Linked DNA regions of Oreochromis niloticus. The protein of the gene in region 1 binds, or shares a complex with, the protein of each later gene. Links are inferred from orthologs where the notes say so. Each region holds a gene or a part of one and is shown in the gene's direction. Other genes may lie near its edges. The genes, in order: pdzk1, slc15a2 and akap10.

Evidence for each region.
Region 2: the proteins of pdzk1 (region 1) and slc15a2 are in contact, whole or in part, in a crystal structure (PDB 6EZI), measured with the Homo sapiens proteins. The link is inferred for Oreochromis niloticus from reciprocal best matches to the Homo sapiens genes PDZK1 and SLC15A2. Residues at the interface, in NP_001188254.1 of Homo sapiens: Asn386, Gly387, Tyr388, Gly389, Phe390, His391, Leu392, Asn393, Ala394, Ile395, Arg396, Gln407, Tyr436, Glu437, Val440, Ile443, Gln444; in NP_066568.3 of Homo sapiens: Glu723, Thr724, Lys725, Lys726, Thr727, Lys728, Leu729.
Region 3: the proteins of pdzk1 (region 1) and akap10 are in contact, whole or in part, in a crystal structure (PDB 3TMH), measured with the Homo sapiens proteins. The link is inferred for Oreochromis niloticus from reciprocal best matches to the Homo sapiens genes PDZK1 and AKAP10. Residues at the interface, in NP_001188254.1 of Homo sapiens: Asn386, Gly387, Tyr388, Gly389, Phe390, His391, Leu392, Asn393, Ala394, Ile395, Arg396, Phe402, Lys404, Tyr436, Glu437, Val440, Ile443, Gln444; in NP_009133.2 of Homo sapiens: Pro655, Leu656, Glu657, Lys658, Ser659, Thr660, Lys661, Leu662.

Annotation. Positions count from the first base shown.
Region 1 is NC_031987.2:19,838,268-19,846,261, reverse strand, and holds the start of pdzk1 (Na(+)/H(+) exchange regulatory cofactor NHE-RF3), read left to right. Parts: upstream 1-4,891; 5' UTR 4,892-4,984; intron 4,985-5,903; 5' UTR 5,904-5,906; coding exon 5,907-6,113; intron 6,114-6,228; coding exon 6,229-6,442; intron 6,443-7,224; coding exon 7,225-7,557; intron 7,558-7,641; coding exon 7,642-7,838; intron 7,839-7,918; coding exon 7,919-7,994. UniProt on the Homo sapiens protein: A scaffold protein that connects plasma membrane proteins and regulatory components, regulating their surface expression in epithelial cells apical domains.
Region 2 is NC_031987.2:26,202,270-26,210,119, forward strand, and holds the start of slc15a2 (solute carrier family 15 member 2), read left to right. Parts: upstream 1-4,765; 5' UTR 4,766-4,916; intron 4,917-5,006; 5' UTR 5,007-5,098; coding exon 5,099-5,107; intron 5,108-6,916; coding exon 6,917-7,004; intron 7,005-7,850. UniProt on the Homo sapiens protein: Proton-coupled amino-acid transporter that transports oligopeptides of 2 to 4 amino acids with a preference for dipeptides. Transports neutral and anionic dipeptides with a proton to peptide stoichiometry of 2:1 or 3:1.
Region 3 is NC_031975.2:9,534,278-9,541,910, reverse strand, and holds the start of akap10 (A-kinase anchor protein 10, mitochondrial), read left to right. Parts: upstream 1-4,584; 5' UTR 4,585-4,803; coding exon 4,804-4,825; intron 4,826-7,582; coding exon 7,583-7,630; intron 7,631-7,633. Other genes in the region: eukaryotic translation initiation factor 5B, read right to left, coding at 18-364; lg10h11orf54 (ester hydrolase C11orf54 homolog), read left to right, coding at 1,114-1,180, 1,268-1,366, 1,556-1,629, 1,722-1,823, 1,956-2,132, 2,353-2,502, 2,590-2,706, 2,841-3,014. UniProt on the Homo sapiens protein: Differentially targeted protein that binds to type I and II regulatory subunits of protein kinase A and anchors them to the mitochondria or the plasma membrane.

The DNA of each region.
Region 1 (7,994 bases):
CTGGCAAATTCAAGGTGATGACAAGAGGTAATGGATAGTGAACGCATCAGCAATAAGCCAAGCTGAAACGGATTTCTGCCTCTTTCCACTCATCTCCCCTCAGGTTGTGGCTCCTAAATCCTTGAGATCGATTGTTCAAACCTGGCTCCAAACTGGTACTGTGTGTGTGTGTGTGTGTGTGTGTGTGTGTGTGTGTGTGTGTGTGTGAGAGTTATAATCGGAAAGCTCAGTGTGCCAACCCATCAACAGTAATAAGTGCCTGGTCAGGAGGTACGTACACCCCTATGGGGTATCTGAGTGTTCAGGTGCACAGGCAGAAAGATTGAAGTCTCCAGCACAAATTCTGCCATTTCCTGTTGTCGGTCTCACCACGTTGTCACAAACAGACCTCGTCATACTTTTTACATCAGTATAGTATTTACTAAAGCACTGGCTCTCAAAATTGGTTCCAGGAACCCCCAGGGACAATGACCTAGTGTAACAGAGGCTTCTTCAAAATAACTTGCTTAAATCAGAAATATTGCAGACATACAAACGAGAAGCATTAGATCAGTAATGCAAACCTCACTAATATGACACTAATATGATCTTTCATTTGCTTCTCACGGGTGCAGTGAGACATTGATCCTAAGTGATGTTAGGACCAAACCAGCTACAACAATGTTAGTGCCATGAGGGGAATCCTTGGAATAGTTTATTCCCAGTAAAAGGAGCTTTCAACAGTAGATGAAAACAAAACAGCAACAATGTCTACTTTGTCACAGTTTACTGTAGAAGAGGTGGAAGGTATTGAATACACATAATTCAGTTTATTGTTAAAGGTAAGTGCTCTAGAGTAACATTCAACGGGATGGCTCTAGCATTGCACCAACAATTATATCCATACAGTAAAAGCGTGGAGTGATGTGATTCACATTTCTGTGAAGTGCTGAAGGATGGTAATGGATATCCATACATCTTTCCACCAGCAGGTCTGCACATCAGTCAATATACATTACTGTTGTTGGTGGTAATGCGCTATAAAAGGTAGCAGTGTGCCAAAAAAAGGAGGAAAATTATATTGGGGGGAGGGAGACTAATGCAAGCTCAAAGCAGTGACGAAAAGGGTTTTCAACCAGATGTGCTTGATAGATGTTGGATGCATAGGTTATGTTATAGTGAAGATGTAGTAAGGTGGAAATGAGACCTTGTATTTTCTTCTTCTTTTTTTTTTAAAGGGATACACACCTTTGTGGATGTTACCTGGCAAGATATTTGGATCTCATACATGTGTGGAAGTTTTAATATCACCTTGCAAGTGTGACTCAGGATTTCTTTCTGCATTTATGCAAATTCAATAAATATATCTAGAGATTTTTTTAGAAGATGAACTTGCCAGAGGCAGTTTGGTTCTGTGCATACAAATTAATGTAATTTGGGGACTCTAAAGTAATTATTTCCTTTCAGCATGACATACACAAGGTAACTCTCAGTGTGTATGCACATAGTAATAAAATAAAAACAAAATTATACATAGATAATAAGTCAAATAAAATAATACATTGTTAAGTAAAAATCTGAACATGTCAGGACATCATTTGCATAAAGCGCTGCTATAAAAGTTCCTGTGTTATATTGCGCAGTCTCATCATTGGCAGTCCACAGCACTCATATTTGTTTTGACCGTCTACTCAGTGCAGAAATAATTTCTGTTCAAAGACATGGAGAGGAACTGCAAATTAAACTCTACTTTGTGGCCTCGTCAGAGGCCTTGAGAAAGAGAGGACACTACCAGAACCGAATTCTGAGTAGCAGTAACAATAAAACATTTAAAAAGATATTGACAACAAAATCTTGCTGCAGGCACCAGTTTGGTAATGAATAAAACTTTTCTTTTGCAGGCCTTGGTTGTCACCTTTGTGCCATTGTATAACTGCTTTTTACATCCAGAGTTACGACCAGGTTAACAACAAACATTAAAACTTAACTGCGACCAATCCTATCTTGAATTTTTTTACACCACGAAGATCTTTACTAAAAAAATAAATGACCCCCTTTAGTCCACTTTGTTAGAAGACTAGTGAAGTCAACATTTTATCCTTACCATTTTAAGTAATGACATGGAAAAGAGGTACAGAGGGGAATTTCTAACCAGTGGTGACACTAAGGTGGAATTTGTGAAGCTGTTTTTTGGAAAGTGAGACCAATTAACCCCTGGGTCTCAGACTCTTAAAGAATCAATGAATGCTAGTGAGAGCAAACTTCCTGGACACATTATTTTATACAAGTATCTATGCTGACAGAATGGATAGCTAGTCCAGTGTTGTTCTGTCCCTTCATTAAGGTACTGTGCAACAGTCTTGGCCCATAATTTCTTAATATTTTGCTTCCAGTGAGCCGGATGTATTAAAAAGATTTTATAGTGGCTTGATCAACAGTTGTCCAAGTTTTTCTTTGGACATTGGCTGCTTTCCATTTCTTTCATTGAATCTATGAAAAAAAATGTTTGATAGGATAAAATACTATTTTTGCACCAACAAGGTAATTCCCATAGAGGTATTACCTAAAAACTTGGTATATTTCAGTATGGTGTGCAGTGTGTCCTTAAAAAATTTGAGGAAATTGGACACTGGGCTAAAAAACTATCTGCAGCAGATAACAATATTTGAAAGTCATGTGTCTATGAAACAGAAAACCATCAAAGCGAAGACCTAACAAAGGACTTGAGACCTTCAGTTGATCCACATACTGTTCAATGAAGCCTCACCAAAAATTATCTCAGTGGCTGTCAAGAAGGAATTATTGAGGAAAAAGCTGAGGTATGCCAAATTACATAACAAATGAACTGTAAACAGCTCGAATAAGGGTTAATGGAGTGATGACTCCAAATTTTAAATTCTTGATTTTTAATCACCATCAGTATTTACAGAAGAGGTCAGGAGAGAGGAACAAAGGCGAGTGACTGCAGTAAAAACACATTAGAGGCCCATAGTGTTGGGGATGTTGTCAAAATTGACGGATTTACGAACACAGAAAAATACCTTTAGATTTTGATTGACCATGAAATACCATTTGAATAACAACAGCCACATTTTTCAGTATGACAGTGATCCCAAACACACTAACATTGCAGTATAAGCGTACCTAGATAGAAAAGCCCTGTCTGTTTAGCATTATATACTGTATTTTCTTTTGTGATTCATTAAATCACTAGATCTAGTTTACATTTTCCTAGAAAAAAAAGGAAGTGTTGCTCAAGACATTTGTGCAGCACTGCATGTCTCAAGAGACACCATATCATCACAATAAAACCATTAGAATTAGATTTGAACATTATGACCTTGAGGGTGGAGTTTATGACACATTTGTTGAATGAGACTGGATTGAATGTGCCATAATGCAAACACTGCAGCTTTGAGGTGTGTAAATGTAAGAGAAACACCCACATGGGTAATTATCAGGGACGTGTATTGATAAGAACTTAGCAATTCCGATTTCATTGTCCATATTTATATATTCTGCTCCTTATCAGTTCTTTTATTGATTCTCATTGGCTTCTCATTTGCTCCACTTTGAGAGTCATTGCCATCCCTAAGCACCATATCAAAGACATTACATTCATGCAAATTAATTGCATACAAGTGTCTGTGCCTGTTGTAGGTATTTCCCCTATTTGTTGTGATCAGTGTTGGGATCATTACTCATAAAAAGTAATGTATTGCACAAATTACACATAACACAATAATTAAAAGTAATGCAGTACAACTTAATTACTCCCAGGGGAAAGTAATTTTTTACACTATTAAGTAACTTTCATGTTACTCATTAAAATGACCTGAAACTCATTGTTTCATAAATACTACTTAACAAAATATAATCCTGTAGGCTCCAGTCCCAACCTTTCCTAATGAGGACACACGTGGGATCTTTCGCTTTCTTAATATTTAGGTATGAACACAAAGCTGACAGCATAAAGCAAGGATGAAAATCAGCACAAAAAGACTTTAAAGCGATCATCATAGTGATTCTACGTTAGAAACATGAACAGAAAGGTAAGCTTCAGCCTGATTGCTCATCACTGGCTTTGTAACCTGTTGAAGTTCAAGGTCTGGCTGCTGGGATGGGGCCGGCATTCACTCAGCTTTAACATCACTCTGGGTTCTTGGCTAACTTAGCGTTAGCATACTGTTTGCGCAGGTGCTTGCAAAGAGCAGAAGTTGTGTTCTGTCCTGGATGCAGTTTGCACTTAAACACTGGGCTCTCCTCCTTTTGTCCAATAAACTATAAACAAAATGTTCATATCCACACTGTAGAAACTGTAAAAACGAATTTCCTCCTCCAGCACACAAACTGAAATTAGCTGATTAGCACAAGTGCAAATGAAACCAATAAGTGGGCTCGATAGGCGGGCAAACTCAGAAATCAAAGTAACTGAACAACTGGGAACAGGTTCTCCACAAGAACCAGCTCCTGATCCTCATCTCTAATGATTATATTTACATTACATGAACTGGCTTTTTAAGTACTACTGCATGCAAATTTATTGACCTTTTTGCTAGAATAACACAATTTAGGTCATTCTTTGTCAAGTTTTAATAAGTACGCCATCATTTTTTTCATTCAAGTAAAAATTAAATTATGCAATTAAATTGTGCATTTTTGTAGTCATTTCACAATACTGTGTTAGTGATTAAAACTCGAATTTCACAATGCTGTAATAACTGTGTGCTGCAAGGATTGTACATTGTTTTTTTTGCCACCTGCATTTTGTACCTTTGACCGGTAAACAGCTGACTGCCCACCTTGTAATGCCTCTGCAGAAATTTGTGAGCCTAGAAACTGTTAAATAACTCAGCCTTTAGGCTAACCTTTGGCCTGTCAAAGTCCCTGAAGGGGGAAGGAAAAGGGGCGGGAAGGAGGAGGTAGACAGGAGATACATAGATAACAGCTAAACAGTAACAGGTGAGCTCTCCTTCGAGATTCAGACGCCAGGAGAGACAGGCTGGTGAGTATATTATAAACACTCAACTACGCTGTATGTAATTTTGTGTAGTTAGTTAAAATTTTTCAATGTCACATTCAAAACTAGATCTATGCTATCTTATAAATTCATTTTAAGAATAATGGAAAATGTTGTCTTGTCTTGAGGATGAGTGTTTCTTCAGGGTGAGCTGTGTTGCTTGTGTTATAGTAAACTGTTATAAGTCATTATTGAGATTATAGACATAAATTTGTTATTATTTGGATACCGGATCTATAAACAGTGTAATCTTTAAGATGCTAAACTCATATGGTTCGAATATTGCATTCAGTGAAAACATAAATTCTATACACTTAAATTTAGGACAGGTAAAAACATTTCTTTTAAAAGTAAAGGTATAAGGAATACAAACAAAAAAATTATTCTAACCTGCCTGCTTAAATAAAGTCGTTGTTTTTAGCCATTTTTCGTTTATTCAGCCATACAAAAGGCTAAATAAATCAGCCAGTACATGTGCACACACAGAGTGACAAGAACTTTATGACCTTCCTGTATGGGAATAACAATCCAGCAAGAATTGCAGCAGAAGTTCTTATTGTGCATTCAAAGTCCAAGCTGCTTTTTTATGGAGAGTCATCACCACTGTAACCTCTTCTTCTATTAACCATTAACTTCTGTTGCAGACCCAGCATGAAAGGTTAACTGTAAGATTATTGATCTGAAGCAACTCTCCTACTGGTCCTTGAGGTCCAGTAGTAGTTTCTACTCTACTTATATATTTAAAAGACCAGCGGCAGTAACAACGGGGAGGGTGGCGGGGGGCGGGAGGCGTTAAAAAAAAAAGATATGCCTGTAAGTTAAGCATTAGTAGTGACAGGTGTATTTAATGTTATGACTTTACCACTGTGATTGCCATGTGTGTGCTTTTCACCTTTTTTGTTAGGACATGGCTGGGTACAAGCCACGGGTGATTACCCTATCCAAGAAACCAAAACAGACATTCGGCTTCTATCTGAGGGTGGAGAATGGCGAGGAGGGTCACCTGATCCGCTGCTTGGAAATGGGAGGTCCAGCTGAGCTGGCTGGCATGAAAGACGGAGACCGCATCCTCCGGGTCAATGGAACATTTGTCGATGAACGTTCGCATTCTGAAGTGAGCAGGATGTAGAAATACTGCAGTGCATTAATCAAATCAATAACAACTCTTAGACCAGTTCTGCTGTGACAAGCATCTTTTCTTAGAGTCTTCTTCTTTTTTTCCTGGACAGGTGGTGGACCTGGTGAAAAACAGTGGAACCTCTGTCACGTTCCACATTCTAGATGAATCCTCCTACAAGCAAGCAAAAGCCCAGGGAGTAAACCTTTCCAGCCCTGGAAGCAAGCCAGTTGCCAATGGAGTGGAAAAACATCGTCCAAAACCCAAACTCTGCTACCTGGTTAAGTCCAGCTCAAGCTTTGGGTTTTCTATTCGCTCAGTTGAAGGTAAGGAGAGGATGCAGGGACTCCCAATTCTGAGTAAGTGTTAGAATAAAAAAGGCCATAGGAGTACTATTTATAGTGATAAAAGCCATTTGACGCTGGACAGTGGAAGTTTAGATTTGCTAAACTGGAATGGCTTAACTTTGGAAGTACCCATTTATATGACACTTACAGTGGTTCATAAGTTCCAGCTAAAAGCGTATTTATTTGCTAATAGAGCATTTCCTAATGCCTCATATGTATAGTCGCCAATAAGGCTTGAAGATAGTGGCTAAAACCAGAAATAATCATGATAGTGTTGAAGGGAGCTTAAGTATCATTACAGACTTTTGTCCAGCTATCCATTTTATTCCACTTATCCAATTCAGACTGTGCATGAGCCTATCCCTGCTGTCATCAGGCAAGAGGATTCACCCTGGTGCGGACAACAGTCTGTTATATTCCAGTCACAGAAATAGTTAGACAACCGTGCTCATTCATTACAGACTTTTATGTGATTTGCTTTTGGAGTCACCTTCCAGCATGAAGATTTAAAGACCTTTGCAAAGATTTCACTTGTCAGACCCGGACGTTATGTCTAACTTGTTGCAGTGTTTTCTTTGCACTTATCTTTGAAAGGTATTTCAGTAGTAATAGATACAAAAAGATATTATCACAAATTAAAATTAGGATTTTGGTTAAACTTCAAAAGGGATGACTTTTTTCTTTTTAGTCTGTAGAGAACTATCGAGAAAACTGTTCAATTAAGTTTAAAAAATGTCCTTTTTTTTTATCATCATGTCTAGGTGAGCATGGACTTTTCATGACAGAAGTGACCCCAGGAGGCACAGCTGAAAGGGCAGGGGTCAGACTCAATGACCGTCTGGTGGAGATCAACGGGGAAAACGTAGAAAACATCACACACGATGGAGCAGTGGACAAAATTAGACGGGCAGGCAGCCATATCATGTTCCTACTGGTCGACAAAGAAACAGACAAGTTCTATCAGAAGACTCATGCAAAGATTGGCTCGTGGTTAGCCACAACAAAGTACCTCCCTCGAGAACCACGCATCATCAACATAACCAAAGGATCTGATGGATACGGCTTCACCCTTAGAGAGGAGCCCAGTCAAGCAGGCATGGTTATAATGACTATATTTTGTAGATTACACTGTCCAAAGAAGGCTACATTTTAATAATGTGCTCCATGACTCCATGCAGGACACTTCATCAGGGACATAGAGAGAGGCAGTTCAGCAGAAAAAGCGCATCTGAAGGAAAAGGACAGGCTGGTGGCTGTGGATGGCAGAGATGTGGAGAGCTGCAGCCACGAGGAGGTGGTAGACAGGATCAAGCAGAGTGGCAACAAATGTTGCCTCCTAGTAGTGGACAAAGACACAGACCAAGTGTATAAGCTGGTGAGCCAGGGCGCCAACATCTTGTCTGTTAAGTAATCCCTGCAGGTGGTCTAAATTATATCATGTTGTATCATTCACAGGGGAAAGTTTCTCCTCTGCTTTTCATGGAGGAGATGAATGATTCCAACTCACCACCCAGTTACACAGAAGCTGTTA
Region 2 (7,850 bases), about 6.4 Mb from region 1:
CTCCACTACTTACCAATTTAACAAGATAAACTGGATGACATTCAAACATACCTGCCTGGCCACCCTCTACATTGACATCTTCACCCTTCTGCACTCCTTCATGACTGAAGAATTGTAAAATATTACTATTAGTATTACTATAGTTAGATAAATATCTACTATATTATAAAAAAATGATATACTATTGGCTGAAAATGACAAGCGGTGGAGGAATTTTTCAAACCATTTCATTGGGAGCAATAAAACACTATGAAAACACCTTATTAAACAAAAAACTGTATTAGTGGAAAATTGTGCATAAAGTATAAAAACTGAGATAATTATTCTGAAGAAAATTATTTCTCATCAATGTTAAATGGATTAATATTACTGCTATATATGTTTAAGGGTGACCTAATTTTAAATACTTTATATTGTGTTTAATGTCCAGCTCCATTCATAAAATATATTAATTATGAGTTTGTAGTAGCTGTCCAGTGAGGAACTCTGAAAAACTGTTAGTGGTTCATGACCACAGAAACAAAAATCTACATCTTTATTTCGCACAAAAAATAGCATTCAGCACAAGCAGAATTAAAAGGATTGAGCAATGTGTGACGTGGTTAACTGTCAATATCTACAGGGTGATTTCAAATATGAATGAAAAATGAACGTGGAGTGTTGGCAAAAGAGATGGTTAAACATTTAGACATTCTCATAGATGCTACTCTGAAAGTGCTGGCTGACCCTGCACCTGGTACACTTGCCTGTTTTTATTAGACTGGACAGGTTCAGAGACATCGTCACAGCTTTCCTTGTTAATGTACTAAAGAAGTTATTAAAAACTTTTTCATGCTCAATCTTCTTTACATCATATATGTTAACCAAGCGAGGTTAGCAAGAGGGAACTTCTCTGTTATGATGCTAAATCATTGAAGGTGGTTTGCTTGCTAATGCACACCATAACTGATCTCAGAGCAGTAAAAGCTGAGCTAGCGGCAGCTTGCCTGTCAGACCAGTGGTTTGTCCACAATGCACATGTGCAAACCACAAGAAAAAGAGTTTCTGGCCTCTCAGCCTGCCCAGCTTTAGTCATCTGTAACAGGAGGTGTAACAGGAGGTGGACGCACCCTCAGGGACTGACAAAGCTGTAGTCTCCTATGAGACTGAAATAAGCACATCTTTCAGTGACAATGTTAACAGCGGTCACAAGATGGCAGTAACGTAAAGGCACACGTCAAGTGAAAGAGAAGGAGCTTTATGGCAGTGCTGTCTGAGGTGAAAGGAGAGAGATCACTTTACTTTGGTGTGTTTTAATTTTTGTGTATGTTCAGACTTGACAACACACACACAAATACACACACACAAGCAGTATGTAATCTTGCTTTAATTAAGGAACATGTCTGTCAATGCACACACACAAGTAGTACTTGTGTGTGGGTTTGGAGGTTTGATGTGAGTTCATTTATGTAGAAATTGGGGACCTATATCAGCTCACACACCAGTTCATTTGGGACTACTGTCCCCAGTTAGATTTGAGGCACATAAAATATTTGTATTTAGGGTGGGATTTTTCTGTGTTGTATTGTGTATGTGTGTGTGGTAGTTCTGAATGTTAACGTGCATGGTTATCTGTCTCTCTGTGTTAGCCAGAGTTGCATAAACAGAAGGACATTAATAGGTGGATACGCCCAATCAATGATCATGTCTGAAAATAAATCTATACTGCACAGGTTTTTAAAGGCATTTTAACATAAAGTAAATTTTCTTCAGGAAATCCATCATTTTAAGTTTAAATTTTTGTTTTATTGCTGATTGTTGGAAAGTTTTAATGTTTACTGTTAGTAGTATGTACTGTCGTAGACCAATGCTGCCCTCTTGTGGTCTGTTTTGTCACTGAAGACATTTTTCATTCACGCCTTACTCATTTTCTTTCTTTACAGAGACAATCGATTTTTTTAAGCTTCTTTAATGTGTCACTGTCCAGACATAGCTTTTATAGTCACAATAAAATGATCAGGTGGCCAGTGAGCAAGCAAATGTTTAGCTGTGTTTTGGTGACTTGTTTGAACAGCCATGTGATTGTTATTACCACTTCCATTAGCTGTTCGAAAAATGTTAATCCTACACTTACAAGTCATGACCCACAAAGTGATTAATAAATCCCTACATGTCAAAAGGTTGTGATTGTTTGGATTCTTTTATAATCTGTTTAATGCTGTATGTTCAACTAGAAAAAGTCTCTTTTCCCCAAAGAACTTTGTGAGCCATAACACCAGTAAGGTGCTCAGATCCTGTGGGCTGCAAGCCCAAGAAGAAGAAAAAGAAGAAGACAAATCCTTTTATTGTTAATATGTGCATAATGAATTTTTGTTCGGTAGCTCTTGGCACAGAAGAGAACACCCTTTTACATACATAAATATACTGTACATAAATATACAGATACACTATAAGACAAGTGAATGCACACTATCCATGTGTGCAGGTGTGCAGAATAAATGTGCAAAAAGTCAGAGAATTGGATTTCACAGCTCTGGGGAATGAAGCTGTCTCTCCAACCTCAGGCTGGTGGTGCGTTTTCATGTTCCTATACCACTTTCCTGAAGGAAGCAGTAAAAAACAGTCCATTGCCAGAGTGGGTGAGGTCTGCAGCGATACGTCTGGCACTTTTTTTGGATCTGTCTAGGGTTCACCGAGTCCAGATGTGGAAGTGGATTTCCCACAATCCCTTGTGGTGATTTCATCACCTGGGCCAAGTTCTTTCTGTCTTGTGCTGTGCAGCTGCCATACTACACAGTCATACTAAGACAGATGATACTTTCTTTTGTGGCTCCGTAGAAGTTCATGAGCAGCTGAGAAGAGAGTTTGTTCCATTTTAGCTTCCTGAAGAAGAAGAGCCTTTGCTGGGGACATCACACCAGGTGTGGTGTGTTCAGGGACCATGTTAGGTCAGATGTTATGTGAAGACCCAGAAACTTGATGTTGTCCACACGCTCTACTGCCTCTCTGTGTATGAGGAGAGGAGCATGTTTTGTCTTGCTGGACCTCCTGCAATCCACAATGACTTCCTTAGTCTTGCTGCTGTTCAGGACAAGGTTGTTGTCTAAGCACCACTGTGTCAGTTATTGGACACCCCTCCACTTTGGTCTGATTTGTGCAAAGGATATTGTTTGCACAAATCAGAAATCTTTTGGTTCGTTCAGATTCAGCTTTGGAAAAAGAAGCAACCCAACGAAACAACACCCCTCTTTTTAAGACTATATTTCAGTTAGAAAAAACACTGTTTTAGAACAATTACTTCTTTGTCCAAATGTTGGCACCGGTAACTTGTTACCTATACTTCTAAACTTTTGGCTACTACACTGGTTGTCATTAATGCCAGCACAGTGTTGGCCAGTGGTGGTTTTGGGGTGATGTTCAAACAGCCGGAGCTGATATCTACTGTTTCCTTAAGTCTCATCTCTCAAGGTTTGGCATGTTGCATGGGATGTTATACCAGTGGTTCTCAAACCTCTTCTGGTATGATCCATTTCAGAAGAATATTAATAGAAAATATTAATAGAAAATCCAAATAAACATTTGTTTAAAGTAAGTATGTAATATATATATAGCATCATAAAATTCTTATTTATTTATTTTCTCCCTCTCCGAAAAATAATTCTGGTCAACTTTATTTTTTTTTCTCCTGGTTATCTGTGCCCCACCTACGATTTCAGGCTAATTTGTCTGTTTTGTTGTTTGCAGTTTTTGACCAGTGTTATAAATAGTGGATCCAGGCAAAGTAGTAGAAAAATGATACTTTAAAAAAAAGAAAGAAAGAAAAAAACTTTTGGAATGAGTAAAGCATGTTCTACTTGAAAGCAATCGAAATTGGCTTTGTATGTAAGACACTTTCAGTAATTTCGAACAATGGCACTGCAAAAATTTTAACAGTTATTTCTGTATCTGTGAGTTTTAAAATCATGTGTGTTTTCTAAAAGTCCAAGCACATTTGTTAAGTATTAATTTGTTTTTTTAAACAATCTTTTATTAAAAATGGATAAAGTGAACTCCAACTGTGGCGTCTTTAAACCATTTTTTAATCTTGTGCTGTTTTGCTCATGTTTAAATTTAGCAGACTTAAACAATTGTGAAGATCGCAAAAAAAACTGCGTCTAGTGGTGGTGACCATTAGACCACATTAACACCACACATCCGCTCACAGCAGCAACATTTCTACAACTTCAGAAGACATTACTCACATAGCCCACATTAATATATTATACAAATACAAAAATACACCACTATACAAAGTTCACTAACATCTAATGTTTTACACTATGTGGGCATCCTTTTTGCTCCCAAATGGAATACGGGTCCCCACAGTGTGACAGTGTAAAAGTATATATATGTGTAAAAGACGCATGTCCCCACAATATGAGTAATACAAGTACACACACACACACACACCTTTGTGGGTACATTATCGGGGATGAAACAACAGCTGCAATTACTTTGACATCATGTATTCTCTAGACTTATAGGTTTACCTTTAATATCATTGAATGTCTAAGCCTAACCCTTAAACCCATCCCTCAAACAGCAACTAACTAACAAGTGTACTTGGGACACACGTCCACCACCGCCACCGCTAATATTACTCAGGGTGAATAAAAAAGAAATAAATGATACACTCGAAGTCATCCAACCAGAGATATGCGCTTTGACCCGCACATCCACAACACTTTGACCCTCCATCCCACAGTCAGGTCTGCGGCTGAGTGCAACAACGACTCTATTGTACAAGTAGATCCCGCTTCACTGCAACTTGCGGACCTCCCCCCCAAAAAGGGAGTGAAACGCGTTGTAAATATACGCATATATAAACACTCATCTGCTACCTCCTTTTTAATATTTCACAAAAGACCGAAGTCCGGAGGCTCGCTGCTTTTCCTGAGGTAACAAGTCCAGTTTTCTGTGGTGGAATATTAACTTTAAGTGTGCTTTAAGAGTGTAAGTGTCCGAGGTTTTTGCATCTGTGCCTTCAGTGAGCGGAACGGAGTGGGACGGACTTGGATGATAGTCAGGAGCTCCCGGTGCTGCCGTAAAGATCCCAAACTCTCGCATCTAATAAGACAACATGGGAAAGGTAAACATGCTGTTTTGTGATTTTTTTTACTGATTATGCGCTGAGTTGCTCAGTTACTTTTGTTGTGCGTCTCTGATTTTTACAACGCAAAGATGCGTAGTAAAAGAAAAAAAAAGAAAAAAAAGAAAAACAAGAAAAAAGAAAAGTTGTACGCGGGTTGGAACGCGGGGACATATGGGAGCAGACGGTGCTCGGGACGTCTGTGGAAATAAAACACGCAAAGATATGTTGTTGACGTGTATGCGAAGCATGCAGAAGAGGGCTATGGAGACAGAGGGAAGTCTGCTTTGAGACCAAGCTCCCACTGAAGCGCTATGCTAAATTATTATTGGTAAGATGATGCAACAGGCACCCCCTCCCCTTTAAAAGTAAACCCACACTAACTGCTGTATGGAGAAAGCTGGTGCCACATGTGGCCTGAGCGATTATGTTTTTGGAGATAGCAAATCCGTTAAAGGATCATTTTTAATATGCTTACTGTGCAGATTTATCATGCAGAAAATGGACAATATCTACCACGCTTTGATTTTCCTCAGTTGTAGAAAACTGTTGATACAGTGAGGTAAAATAATATAACAGAGACAAGCAAGCAAGCAAGCAAGCAATTTATTTATATAGCACTTTCAGATCAGCCCCCAGCTGAACACAAAGTGCTGTACACTTGACATGCCAAAAATGATACATTGAACATGTTAAAAATAATAATAATAATAATAATAATAATAATATAAAATAAATAAAATATATATATAAAAAAAGATTATTAAAATGACATTTAAAATAATAAAATTGAATGGACTCATGTTGAAAATGAACGGAGTCTGTTTTTCTGTTTTTTCTTTCTTTCATGTTTTCATGCTTTGATTAATTGAAATTAAATGACACAAAACCAGAGATGGTGATGGGAGTAAATATGTTCGTTGCACATTTGGTAAACAAACCCTTAAATTAAGTTTTATCAATTAAAAAAAAAAGAAAAAGAAAAAAGAAACATTACCAAGTAGGGACGCACCAGTCTAACTTCTCTTAGTAAGTGTTTATCTACTTGTATACACTAAAGTGACTGTGACTCACTGACTGCCTAAAGCTCACTGAATGAGGCCATGGACCTATGATGATGATGATGTTGATGATGATTAAAACACTGAGCTCATATTAATTACATCCAGCTCCAGATCAGTGAGCACATCATTACCAGTAAAATTCTACAGAAGCCTCCATTTTTAGCAGCCGGTTGTGCAAAGTGTTTTACTGCTTGTAGGCAGTTTATATAGAGGTGTAAGCACATGAATCATATACCTTTACATATCAGGGCTACAGCTGATGTAAATGATACGATCTGACAGATGACCTAAATTGTCAAAATGCTCTCAAGCAACAGCGTAAAGTTGCAGATCATTGTTAATCAAAACATCCCACACGGTGTTTAGTTGAATACTAAACATCCACTGCAGAAAAATCCACTCAGATCTCAAGCGATGGATATTTTTCTTCGTTTTAGCTGAGCCTGGTCTCATTATAGCGTTAAACCTATAAAACTTCTATTTCTGTGTAATGATTAACTTCAGTATCTTGTGAGATTGACTAACAGGAAGAATATATCAGCTACATTCCTCTCTTTTCATGTCAGAGTATTCTCTGTTAAAGAATAAAACTATTCACTGAACCTGCGAGTTATTGTTTATATTTGACAAAGGTGGGGGGAAAAAGATTAGATAGTGGATTCTGGATGTGCTTTTACTTCGGTGTGATTGTTGGAGAATAATGTGCGTTGAACTTCATTCTGTTAATACATTTTGCTTCTTTTAGAAACTTTTGGGGACCAATTACCCAGTCAGCATCTGCTTCATAGTGGTGAATGAATTCTGCGAACGCTTCTCCTACTATGGCATGAAAGGTATGCAAATAAAAGCCTGGGTGATATTACAGTGCAAATCTATATAAAGCCTGAATAAAAGTAAGGTTTTCTGGAATCACAGAGTAATTTTAGCTTGCTACATTACATATTATGAGTATTATTGGGGCAATATAATAGAGAGGCATCAAATAAGGTCTCTCTTGTTCCCTCACACGACCTCACTTATCTCCATAAGTGACAGATTTACTTCAGCCGGATCACACACAAACACAGATGTAAATACACCACGCAATTTCCTGCAGTTTTAAGCTGATGCACTGTGTCCACAGTTTCAGCTACTGACAAACATTTTTCCTCAATCCGAGTGAACTTAAGACTCGGGGGTTTTATTTAATTACACTGTCTCTAAAATGTGAGAGAATATAAAAAAATAGACCCCAAACATCTCATTTATTTCAGTCATTAGTAAAAATACCAACAATATTAATTTTACTAATAAATAAAAGAAGAGAAATCGCATCAGAGAGGTAAGTGGTTTGAAAATAATGGATTACTGATATTCTGTAACCATCAGAATAACCAAGTTGTTTTGGATTTATTCTGGTGGCCTCTACGGTAATTTAAGAGCTACAAACTAGCAGAATTGCAGTCAGCCAGGAAATGCCATCTGCTGACGGAGATCAAGAGTTGAGTTGTTGTCGAGTGCTCGGGAAAAGCTAGGACGTCTGTTTTGAATGAAGATGTTGCTTAGTTAACAGCGTGAGTTGTGATGTTGGCTTTAGCAGCACACAGGGTTCATCTTAAACTTTCCCAAGCGACTCTCGTGTCTGTTATGACTTATTTATTAAGAAAATGTCCCAACAGCTTTTTGGTTTTAGGTTAAAA
Region 3 (7,633 bases), on another chromosome or scaffold:
TGACCTCCACTCCTCACCTGTCTGCTTCAGCGGCCTCTCCTTCAGTTGCACCATCCTCTCTGTTCTGACTCGAACAGAGAACAGAAGAAGACTCGATAAACCGCGAAATTCTCTCCACATGTTCAGGAGGCAACGTTTCCAGCACAAAATCCGATGGATCCGCTGTAGCAATTTCGGCAACAGCGTCGGATTCAGTCCACTCATTGGACTGACCCACTTTCGCCATCGTAGGACTCACTGAGGGATCCGTGAAAAATCTTAGACATGAAACACGTAAATACAAGACTTCACCAAAACACGCAAAACACTCCACATGCGATTTGACCTGGAAGTGTTTAGACGTCACCGAGGTGACGACGGCCATCTGACCAATCGCCAAAGAGGAGGCAGACGATACTAAACGAATCAAGAGGTTACAGTGTTTCCACTTCCGGTTTTTGTCTCCAGCTGAGCTCTATATAAGATATTTATTTTTCTTGTTGGTTGATGGCTCCTACGTCAACTCGACATAATAATGAGCCTCACACAGAGATATAATTTAGATTAATATTGTAATTAGCAGTAATAATGGTATTAGTTCCGTTCAGACAGCACGAGCAGCTGGTTTTCTGTATGAGACTGCAGCAAACCAGCTTACACACTACATAGATCCACAGCCTGTCCAGCAACTTGTGACAAATGTAAAGTGTCTCCTGCTGTGTGAATCACATTCATCGTCTGTGTCGTAGTCTGCATTATTTAATGAGCTCTATCTTCAGATATTAGCTTTAAATGTAACCAATTATATGAACTGGTGTGCAGTTCATAGAGTTGGGAGATTTCCCGAGCCCAAAGACCCCACTTCTAGAGCCAAGCCAATAATAATGCTTTCCTTTTTATCTAGAGGGAATTATTAATTATTAAGGCGAATATGGGCAATTTTTGTTCGATTTTTTAAGTGAAAGAAATAACCAGTGTCTTTAAATTGGATGAGGAAACACTTCCGGGGAGGCTTATCATCTTGTTCATATTTACTCTTTGTTTGAAGTTTAACCCAGGTCCTGTCCGCTTTTCTTATCCACTTTCCCTGCACCTCTAAACTGTGTCACAGCGCGCTCACTCTCAGGTGGATCTATGGCAGACACCAGCAAAACCGAGAAGGTTCAGCTGCACGCCCCAGATCTAGAAGAGCTTCGTGGCGGTAAGCTCTGATATATAAGCGCAAAGTTGTGCATGTGTGTTCATGTGACTGGGCGCTAATGAAGGTGTTGTTGCTGATTGGTTGCAGTATTACAAGCAGGACTGGAAACCAACTTTGCTGAAGTTCAAGTGAGTGTTGTGGAGTGTCCGGATCTCACCAAAGAACCCTTCCAGTTTCCTGTCAAAGGTAGGAGCCTATCAAAAACACAAGTGTGATTAAAAACTAATCCTTCTTGTATGTTCCACTACGTGCATAAGCATTTTGGTCAATTTAAAACATTTCATAAAACATGCATATGAGTGGGGATGAGCTTCATTTGCAGACTGTGTATCAGAAACACCCTGAAAGATTCTTAATTTCGCCTGTACCCTGCAGGCTTGTGTGGAAGCCCTCGCATCACTGATGTTGGTGGTGTGCCATATCTGGTGCCTCTGGTCCGAAAGGAAAAGGTAATTTTTAAAATAAAAGAATTGTATTGAGAAACTTTAGTGAAAGGTTTTGCTAAAGCATATTCAGCATCTTCTTCTTCTTTTACTGTCAGGAATACAACATGAACACTGTATCAAAGGAGCTGGAACTTCCGGGCGCTTTCATCCTCGGTGCAGCAGCTGCGCCCAATAGAATAGTTGGAATGAACGCAGAGGTGAATTGCCTTCCTTCTAATCCAAAGCGCTTCACTCAGCAAATGACCTCAGTATAAACTAGCTGTCATTCTAATCTTGAAAGGGCAGTTTGGTAAGTCAGCAGTCAGTGGAATGAATGTTCTTGTCCACAGCTGATGCCTCTGGTTCTGACCGAGGCGGAGGGAAGGCCCGCAGTGAACAGCAGCTACTTCTCCTCCATCAATCCAGCTGACGGCCAGTGTCTGCTAGAAAAATACAGCGACAAGTTCACAGACTGCAACTTTGGGCTGCTGGGAAATCTGTATGCTTGTGAAGGGAAACCTGGAAAGGTAGTCAATCGTAGCCTTTTAAAAAATGCACTCTCATCCTGATTTGGCTTTTGGAAAATAATGAACTAGTTATACTTAAACATAATTACCTGTAAGTTAATAACATTGCTGATGTTGTTTTGGGTGAACTTTAGCCCCATGTAATGAGAGAATAAACATTAACAAGAGATCAGTGACTAAACATGCTGAGTTGGTAGTCTTCACCCGTGTGCCTCTGCAGGTCATAGAGATTCGGGCAAAGACGAGAACAGGAAGCCACAGTCTGGTGACGGCCTTGCGGACGACCCTTGAACGTCATTACCCTGATAAAAGTCTGGCCCTGGGAGGCACCTTCATCATCCAGAAAGGGAAGGCTAAAATCCACATCATGGTAAATAGTGGACATGACACAGAGCATGTTACAGACTTGCTGCTGACACAGCCACGCGATTTGATTTGTTTCCTTGCCTGTCAACAGCCAAGAGAGTTTTCAGTCTGCCCCCTCAACACCAACGATGACGTCAACAACTGGCTCAAGCACTTTGAGGTCAGCGCTCCACTCATCTGCCAGTCGGTGCTCGTATCCAGAGACCCTGTAAGTTAAAGCCGATAGACTCACACCTCAGTGTGATGCAGAAATATAAAAAGATCTGATTATAGTTTTATTACCTGATTACAGTGTTTTTGTTCAGTAGGCTTCTTTGTAATGTCCGCCTGGTTGCTTTGCAGGGCCTGGACCTGCGTGTGGAACACACCCACTGCTTCAGTCACCACGGAGAAGGTGGCCACTACTACATAGACACTACACCTGACAGTGTGGAGTATCTGGGCTACTTCATGCCTGCAGAGTTTGTCTTCCGCATCGACAGGCCGAAGGAGACCCACGGAGTCGGACGAGATTGAAAAACTGCATAAAACATGTTGGCAGCAGAGAATCTTCTGATAATCTAAACTGAGACGACTCATTTATTCATTTAAAGCATGTTACATTTCATACATTAAAAAAAAATATCACTGCACATGAATCAATAAAATAAAAGAATCCCAATGAAGTGATCTGAATTGTGTGAAGAAAAAAAAAGGTGGACAGTGACATCACAATGCTGACGTACTTTGGACCTTGGCCTACATTAATGCTTGCCAACTCCAGTGCAATCAAAAAAAATTGTGCAACGTGTTGCAGGCTAGACTGTTGCAGTAGGTAAAGCTGCTTAGAGAAAGCTAGCTTTTTAAAACCCTCCATGGCCAACCTGCCCACATCCTGGATTCACTTATTTGTATGATTAGGCCTCTTGTGGGTGTGTGCACAATGTGCTTGATTAATATCCACCTCACATCGCTTTCTTATACTTCCACTTGCTGAAATAGGGTAGAATAGCAGTGTTGGTGCTTAGAAAGACAAGTGGTGTAAGCGTATAACTGTGTACACCTAACCAGTGATACGGTTTTAAAGTAATACAGGTTTTAGTGTTTTAAATCCGTCTTGTGTCATTTCAAATAAATCTTTCCTCAGCAGAAAACTGTCACAGCAAAATCGATGGAAAGATGTGTTACTTGTAAAGAACTTCGTTTTTTAATTAATAAACTAAGACAATGATTTTCTTCTGAGTGACTTTTTTGTTTGTGTTGTAAAATAACTATATATTGTGTTTGGTAAGGTTCAAATAAGCTGTGGGAAAGGCTGAAATGATTTTCTGTTGGTACCAAGGGGTCAAAGTGTGCCAAGAAAATATCCCTCACACCATGACACCAGCCTCAACCATTGAGACAAATAAGGATGCATGTTTTTATGTTGTCTACATGAAATTTTGACCCTTCTATTCGAACGTTGCATCACTAAACATTCATCACCAGGCCACGTTTTTCTAATCTTCTATTGCCTAGTTTTGATTAGGGCCTGTTTGCTTTTTTTAACAGACAAAAGTGGTACTTGGTGTGGTTGTCTACTGCTTAGCCCATCTGCTTCAAGGTTCAAAACGTGTGTTCAAAGATGCTCTGCATACCTCGATTGTAACAAGACAGTTAAATCACCTTTCTTCCCTATTCTGATGTTCTGTTGGAACTTCAGCAACCTCTCTTCGTGTCTGAATGAATTACATTGCTGCCATGTGGTTGGGTGATAGTAGAACTTTGAGGCTTTCTAAATGTTTCCCCCTAGTATTTGGGGAAACCTTTTGGAAGAAACGTTTAAGAAATTCTCCCTAAAGGCTGTTTAAAGGTTCTTGTACAGCTACATGTACAGCCAACAGGCATACAGGCTTTCAATATTATCATACCATGTTTCCAATATAATAATTAAATTAATTTAATGTTTTGTTTTTATTTTATTTAAAAATTTTGAATACCTCTATTAAAATGTAAAAACCAAATCATTTATCAAAGGTGACTCTTATAGCTTTAATATTCTTCACGTGCAAAGAGCGCCCTCTGCTGACCAACGCAGGCGGTACACCATTTCCCACAATGCTGCTGCCGCACCAGCCCGGAAGTGAGACGTTTATTGACAATATGGCTGCCGAACTGGGTTTCGGATTTGCAGAAATGTTTTAATTGACAGCGCTAGCCGTGGCTGCGACAATAACCCGTTTCCAGCTCAGGAGTGTACGCGACAGTTGCATTTGAATGAAGACAACCGCGAATCCACGGGATGGTGTCAGTGAGCTGAGGAAACGTCCAGAGTGTGAATCCCGTCATGTCGTTTTTCAAGAGGAAAGGTGAGGAAAAAGCTCCCGCTGAAGGCTGCAACGTCGACGGTAGTTAGCGCCGCGGAGAGGGGTGCCCGATAATATGTGACTGATGAGGTTGTCGGTACATAAGTTAGCCGTGTAAACTGAGACGTTTGAGGGAATGCGTTTCCTCCTTTGCTGCTGCTCCTTACTGCTTTTACATGATTAGCTTAGCGCTGGCCTCCCTGCCCCCCCACCCCCCCTTCCTGATTTATCTAACTTCATGTTAGCCGGGGTGGCATTAAATCCACCACAGAAACCTGCCACAAGTCTACATCAACGCCTTCCTGTATGCAGACATAATTCAGGGCTTCCAGAGCATCAAAGGAACACTGTTATCTGCTCTAAAGCAACGCTTGTGTCGAAATGTTCAGTAGCAGCTAGCTAGCTCTGTTGAGGTATTTTCATACATACTTAACAAGCAAGATATGTCAGAAATATTGCCGGTGGCAGGTTGTGTCTCAGTCAGAGCTGTTAATTATCAAAAGGACACACGTTTCCTGTAACACATTTGGCTGTAGAGAACCTGGAGTTGGCTAGTGCTAATTTCCAGTCACTATTGTGTAGAACCTAGATGGGCTGGGCCTGCTTTTTTCTGTATTTTCTTGAACACAACGTGACAATGAATTTCAGTTCAAAGCCCCACAGTTTAACCTCTTTTGTGGTCATTGTGAAGGCTGGAGTCACACTGACAGGCGTCTTTTGTGTCTGGTCTACATCTTTTTTTAAAGTGGGTGGGCAAAATGTCAGATTCGCCACCACCTACAAATGAGCCCTTCTCTGAAACCCTGTCAATCAAACTGAAAATTATAACATTAAGGGGGATAGAGTAGGTTTAGCAAATACATTTGGAAAAGAAAGAAAGGACTTTATTTTTCTGCTGCACCATCCTACAACAGGTGACAACAGGTTTGTCTGATGCTTTTGATAGAAATCACACAATAAGAAAAAATATATAAAGGCCAGAGAGGCCATTAATAATGGAGTCAATAGAGCTCCTGTCCCATTTCCTTAGGAAGCCACCATAATAACTTCACTGCTGAAACTGGCCTGCAGTTTGGTATCCCCTAAAGATTAGTGGGTTTTCCTGGTGGCAGTGACAGTGACAAAAACAGCTGACACAGCAGATCACCAAAATGAGGAAATATAGACTTCACTTATCCATACCCAGAATGCTGCTCAGGATCGACAGGAAGTGAATTTGTTCCTGTTAGGAGGAAGAATTTCAATGCCAAAAAAAGAAGGAAGTGAAAGTTTTACTATTAAATTTGAATGCAATTTTCCACTAAGTCCCAGGCACTCTGTTCATACATTATTGTAAATTATCTTTGTAGTTATTAAAGGTTTATTATTTTATGTTACTATTTTTTTCTTAACATTAGCATCCATTTCACTAACCTGTCATGGTCCTGTAATAACATTAACATTGCGTAAAAGCATTACTTCACTGTAGTTATTTGCATCGTTGTGTTTTAGTCCAGTTGTTTAAAAATGACTGGGGTCCAGACTTTTTAAAAGCCATGTCGCTTCTCTGTGGCAGACAGCCTGTTGGTCTCAGCCAACATTGACTCTTGGTTGATACGCACACACACACACACACACACACACACACACACACACACACACACACTCACTCACTCAGATATGGCTCCATCCCAAATGTCTCACATAAAGAGCATCTTCAGCTCCATTTGTTCAGGCCTCCCGGTCCATTTTGTGATGTCACTGCTTGAAACGGTCGCTTGGCCTGACCAAACTGCTTCATCCGGAGATATGACTGGAGGGTCACTCTGATGAATGGTTGCCACCATGTCTGCCAGCATGCACTCATTCCCCTGCAGGGTTCACACATCATTCTTTTTGGTTGATCTGACAGCTGCAGAGCTTTGGAATGGCTTCACATATCTGCTGTATTATGCACTGTGTATTTTTTCGGGACAATCAGTAAATCTTGGTGACCTTCAGGTGTAAATTAGCTTACAGTCATGTGAAGGAAAACCAGAACTGATAGACCAAGGGCACAAATTGTAGGACTCATGATGCAGACGTCTAGTATAAAAGCCCTGACTGTCTGCACGCTGTAAAACAGCGATTCTCAAACTGCGGTGTATAGAGGCCGTGGACGACCATGCAGTAATCTGAAGTTGAATGAGCATAATTCATGTGGGGAAAGTAAGCAAAAAGATTGCTGATGATGCTGTTTGGAGCTTTTTAAAAAAATAATTAATAATTGATTTAGAACTGTGGGGTCCGTCCTACAAACTTTCTTTATCTTTGGAAGTGGAGGATGCTGGGAAAACTTTGAGAATAACTGTGGTACATAAAGCAGGATGGACATTGTTTTCACATTTTAGAACCCAGTTTCGAGATTTAACCCACATCTGTCAGCAGCAGTGTGGCCAGGTGGAGGAAAGCATATGTAAGGGCTAATTAACTATTAACACAGACTAACAGCACACAGTGTGAAATGACATTGCCACGATAACGACTAACAATGTCTTTTTTTTTTTTGCCTTTTCAATAGTTTTCAGTTCTGCAGATATTATTAAGCAGCCTTTCTTAGAAGTCTGTATTACAGTTCAACAAGTGTTACAGAATCGTTGTTGTGGGAAACACATCCCCACCACACGACATCAACCCCTCAGTGAAATCTCATGTTTTGATTCTTCACCCTCCCTGTATTATGATTCAAAACACTGCTTGCTTCTCCATTTCCAACCACTGCTCTCCTCTTTCTCCCCACAGCCAAAAGCAAAGAACCTGAGAAAGGGACAGACACTAAAGTCAATAGAGGTG